Kluyveromyces lactis: one gene and its partner. The protein of the gene in region 1 interacts with the protein of each later gene in a pairwise test. Links are inferred from orthologs where the notes say so. Each region holds a gene or a part of one and is shown on either strand. Other genes may lie near its edges. The genes, in order: GIM3 and PAC10.

Region 1 (2,412 bases):
ATTAGCCGCAGATATGAGATTTGCACCTATTTTTATTGGAACGGCGTTGGCCAGTTCGTGTATGTTTAAGGACGGATTTTCTTAACCCTTTTTTTTCCCTTTAATTCTCAACTTTACTAACATCATCATCGTCATCGTCAAATACAGTATCTTCACTTATGGTTATATATCCTGACAGCTTCCAATACTACAATGATTTAGTGAATGTGGCACATGAACTTGATGGGACTATAACGCATGAATATACATTATTCAATGGGTTTAGTTTGGATTTGCCAGAAGAGTTTGTCGCTAAATTCAAGGAAATGAACCAACATTTTAATTGGGGGCTTGAAATAGAAGAAGACCAGGAGGTTCATGCGTTAGGTGGGCTGAAAGAACATGCTGTTTGATTGCATTATGGACTGAATCAACGTTGTGTCGGTCTTTACTATTATTTTCTATGTAGATTTTATACGCAAACATATATTACTCGGTTTAAGGATATTTTTTCAATTCTATCAAGCACTTCAGCAATGTATATTTATGGGCTCAACGTTCCAAATTGATGTTGTCACCGAATTTGGCATACAATATACTCTTTAGCTCTTTTATTCTTGAGTCCAATTCCGCCTCATCGCTCTCTAGCTTTTCTATATTGCTGTCGATGTTTTCAGCATCGGATTCTAACTTTTCAACTACTTCTTTCTGTTTTAGAAATACGAAGACGTCTCCGATCTTATATTGTACCTTCTCATCCTCGTCTATCAATTCAATTTCCAACGATACGTCGTCGAGGTACTCTTTCTCTGTTCTTTGTTGCGTCAAATCTTGTTCGATAGCATCTTTTCTCATGATCAACTTGGAGAACTCATTGATACGTTGTTGATCTTCGTATGCAACGGTGACCGTGTTCTTTTGACCCTCCGGTAGTAATTCCATTTCTAGTTAGTGTGTTGCGTGTAAGATGTGGTAGATGTCTCTGTGTCTACTCATGTCATGTACTGTTTTCATCTGTACTTTTAGCCATTCTTGTTATTTTTTATTCAACTTTTACATACTCTAAAGATTTATCTTGCAAATTACACTACTGACATGCAAAATTATGTCATGCAATTTTACAATTTCATGCTCAAAAGAAAGCAGTTGGGACATATTTCACGGCCCTATCAGGTTTATTGTTTCACGTTGTAATTATGCATTCATATATAAGTATCTAACTTTTGTTTTTATGGTGCAACGTGAGGTTGAAAATTAGCAATTACCAGAAAGAGCTGTAAAACAGACCCCTTCAGTTGTGATACTCTTTGAAGAATCTCTCAACACCTTTACCTAGCCTTTCAGCAGCTGTTTGTAAATGCTCTTCATCTGGAGCCATAGCAAATGTAATTCTTAAAAAGTTGGACCTGTCATATGAAAATTTCTTGTCAACTGCCATTCTGTAACCCAAGATTACAATGCAACCTTCTTCCAACAACTTGTAGTTTAAGAAATTCATGGCCTTTAATTTATCCGAGATTTCTCCGAACTTATCAAAATTGATCTTGATACTAATGAACATACCGGCAGAGGGTTCAATCAATTCAAATAATTCTTCTTTATAAGCTGGTGTAGCTTCCAATGCTTGGAAAAGCACATTTCTTCTATGTGTATACTCACCAGCAACTTTCATGACCCATGATAGCCAAGCTCTGACCTTGTCTCCATTGAAATTTTCTGCCCATTTGTCTATTATATTAATGGTCATAGCTTGGGCAAGACCACATGGCGATCTAACAGAAATGTCTGCATATTTCAATAACTTGTCTAGGATAAATTTATTGGCGACAATGAAGGAAAGACGCATCCCAGGGGCGAAGACTTTGGAGAAAGTTTCTAATCTAATGACTCTCCCTGATGTGTCTATGGTCAAATATGAGGGGGCTAATATTTCTTTACAATATTTATCGAAAGTGATAGTGCCATCGTTATATTGATTCTTTAATGGATCAGACTTGTCAAAGGGTAAAAACTTTAGGTAACCATACGGATCATCTTCCACAATTATAATGTCATGTTTTTCGCATAGATCGTATATTTTCTGTCTCTTCTCTTTGCATTGTGTCATACCGGTTGGATTTTGCCCTGTGACGATTGTGTATAACAGTCTAGGCTTAGATAAGTGAGAATATTCACCTGTTGACCAATTCTCAAGCAATTGGTCCATATACTCGACGTTAATACCCTGCTGAGAAGCATCATCCGTGATATCAACTTTCAATGGAATCGGAATCCCACCATTTGCAGTGACGTTGGAGATAGTCGGAGTGAAAGTAAATTCTTCCATTAACACGGTAACGTCTTCATCTGTTAAAGTGGTGAAAACTTTAGATAAAGAATCAGAAGATCCATTTGCTAACATAACATCCCAATTGTCGTAAGCTGGCTTGTTTA
Region 2 (2,767 bases), on another chromosome or scaffold:
CAGTTAGGGAGTTTAAATGAAAGCGATGTTGCCATAATGACCTTGATTTGGTATCAGTTTAGATCGTTAGAGAGGCTATTTGGATCAAGGAAGTACCTTAATATCGTGATATTATCATGGGCTTATACAACAGTGGTAATATTTTTGATTTCGAATCTACTTAACAAGCTTTTGCCTGGAATTTGGTGGGATCAATACACAAATGGCCCACTACCAGTAATATTGTGTTTGACTCATTTCTACAAACAGTATACACCAAGGTTATACGAATTCAATATAATAATCAACCAACCTTTTCTTCTTCATTCTAACACGATCGTTTGGAAGCTGACAGATCAATTTTTCATCCATGGCCTGTTATTCCTTGCCATGGTAAATCAAGGCGCAACAGGGTTGGTAATCGGACTAATAAGTTGGATTTGTGCTATCTTGATGGATAATGGGCTACTACCAGGTACTGACTCCTTCCAATTGGCGCCTTTCAAAGACAGCTGGAACAGAAGTTCTAGCACATTAAACAGACCAAGCGCAGTTATGACAAACGATATGACATCGGAAGATCTAAATGAGGAAGAGGCCGAAGAACCTCAAGATGAACCTCAGCGCACTTTAGGGGTCCAGTTCTTGGATACTTTTAGAAGGTGAAACACTTTTTGTAGATAATGATAATATTTAAATCTATCAATGCGTTGATTCAATTACATGGTGTATATACATAAATAGGATTTAAAGAAACAGTTCAACCAGAAGAGCCTTCCTTTTTCATCTGCTGCCTCCTTTGAACATCCCAATTGTATAATCTAGCACAATTGACCTCCATAGTCGTGATATTCTCTCTTAGGAACTCCACATCTTGCTGAGATATGTCCAGATTTTGCTTGGCATCTGCTAGCTTTTGAGCTAAAAGCTCAATTGCCTCATCTAGAGGATACTCGAGCATCACATCGGCACCTAACCATAACCCGACCTTTAATTCAGGATCCTTCGGATTGACTGACGCCTTACTAAAAAGCGTTTCATTTAGCTGATAGTTGATCAGCAAGCTGTCATCTTCCTCCTCATCGTCTTCGTCAACCTCTGTCTCTCTCTTTTGCTTCAAAAGCGCACACATATTGAGAGTATTTTCAATATCTGGAATCTTGCTTTTAAGCTGTTTTATGTTTGCTAGTTTAGACTCTTGCATGTACTTATATTTGGATAGATGTTCTTGGAACTTGCTGAAGCACATATCGAAATCCTCAGGACTCTTCACATACTGCTCCACCTTTTCCACGAATGGAGCCTCAGGAATCCCTCTAGGATTTGTCTTTGCAGAATTGAATAGCGTATCCATTATGTTACTTTGTAGTTTTGTTTTGACGTCTCCACGCGGTCCAAGCACATACCAAGCAGCTCTTTCCCCTCAATACTTCAACAATTCTTTGTTTCATTCAAAGTTTGTTTTAATTTGCAAAACTATGGAAGATTAACATTGTTTACATGCAGAAGAATGAAAAGTTAACAAGTAAAGGAAAAGTTGGCATTATCGGAAAAACGAAATCATTAGTTCGGAAACTTCATCAAGTGCTCGGACATATTAGAATTCCTGGTTCCTTAGTTAAAATCAAGTCAGTAAATGTTAGAGAATGAACTCTCGTTCGTTTCTCTCACAAGAGTTTCTTTAAACGTAATTGAGTTGAATATACATGCCAAGGATGCAACAATCGTCAATAATGTGTCGTTTTCTCTTCCAAATGGTCAGCTAATGGCAATTATTGGTGGATCAGGTTCAGGTAAGACTACCATGCTTAATGTTCTAGCAGGCAAAACAAATTCGAGTATAAACTATGATGGGGAAATCCAATACAGTCGAGATGCTGCAAAAGAGGGATCTAAAGCTGACGAGAAGGTAACCACAGCGTACTTGACACAGCATGACGCATTAGCTGCGAGGTTGACATGCAGAGAAACACTTCGTATTGCTGCTGATCTTAAATTACATCTGCCGAAACAAGAAAGATATTCATTAGTAGAAGAGTTGATTGCGGAGTTGGGGTTGAGGGATTGCTCAGAGACGTTCGTAGGTGATTCAATAAACAAAGGACTCTCAGGAGGTGAAAAGAGAAGACTAAGTATAGCAGTACAGATGATTGCAAATCCGTCTGTCTTATTCCTGGATGAACCAACAACTGGGCTTGATGCGTACTCTGCGTTTTTGTTGATAAAAACGTTAAAGAAACTTTGTGAACATGGCGGAAGAACTATTATTATGAGCATTCATCAGCCTCGGTCAGATATACTTTTCGCGTTAGATCAAGTGTGCCTATTATCAAAGGGATTCCCGATGTATTGCGGTGCGGTGGTCGGTATGGTGGAATACTTCTCATCCATGGGATACACCGTCCCTGAAAGGTGCAATCCTGCAGATTACTTGATAGATATCTGTAGCGTAGACAATAGAACTGAAAAGTCGACGCTTGATTCTGAAGGAAGGTGGAATATGTTTGCTTCGGAATGGCAAGAGAGATGTTCTACCAAATATGACACCTCAAAGGAAACAGCGGTTATAAGCGTCGATCCTTCTCCACCATCTGTGTCCATCTTACAACAAACATTCATTTTAACCAAGAGAAATTTTTTACTATCCAGTAGAGATAGGCTGACTCTCTTTGCAGTACAATTTGAGCCAGTTATTGTCGGAATTGTAGTCGGTTGGATTTTCTATAAACCAGACCAAACTTCAGAAAGTGGGCTAAGAACAATCGCCGGCGCATTATATATAGTGGGA

Evidence for each region.
Region 2: the proteins of GIM3 (region 1) and PAC10 interact in binary tests that used the Saccharomyces cerevisiae proteins (3 or more experiments, as listed by UniProt). The link is inferred for Kluyveromyces lactis from reciprocal best matches to the Saccharomyces cerevisiae genes GIM3 and PAC10.

Annotation. Positions count from the first base shown.
Region 1 is NC_006040.1:948,699-951,110, reverse strand, and holds GIM3 (tubulin-binding prefolding complex subunit GIM3), read right to left. Parts: upstream 922-2,412; coding exon 532-921; downstream 1-531. Other genes in the region: KLLA0_D11143g (uncharacterized protein), read left to right, coding at 14-59, 148-392; ARO9 (aromatic-amino-acid:2-oxoglutarate transaminase), read right to left, coding at 1,271-2,412. UniProt on the Saccharomyces cerevisiae protein: Binds specifically to cytosolic chaperonin (c-CPN) and transfers target proteins to it. Binds to nascent polypeptide chain and promotes folding in an environment in which there are many competing pathways for nonnative proteins.
Region 2 is NC_006039.1:412,153-414,919, reverse strand, and holds PAC10 (tubulin-binding prefolding complex subunit PAC10), read right to left. Parts: upstream 1,334-2,767; coding exon 740-1,333; downstream 1-739. Other genes in the region: DSC2 (Dsc2p), read left to right, coding at 1-645; KLLA0_C04477g (uncharacterized protein), read left to right, coding at 1,616-2,767. UniProt on the Saccharomyces cerevisiae protein: Binds specifically to cytosolic chaperonin (c-CPN) and transfers target proteins to it. Binds to nascent polypeptide chain and promotes folding in an environment in which there are many competing pathways for nonnative proteins.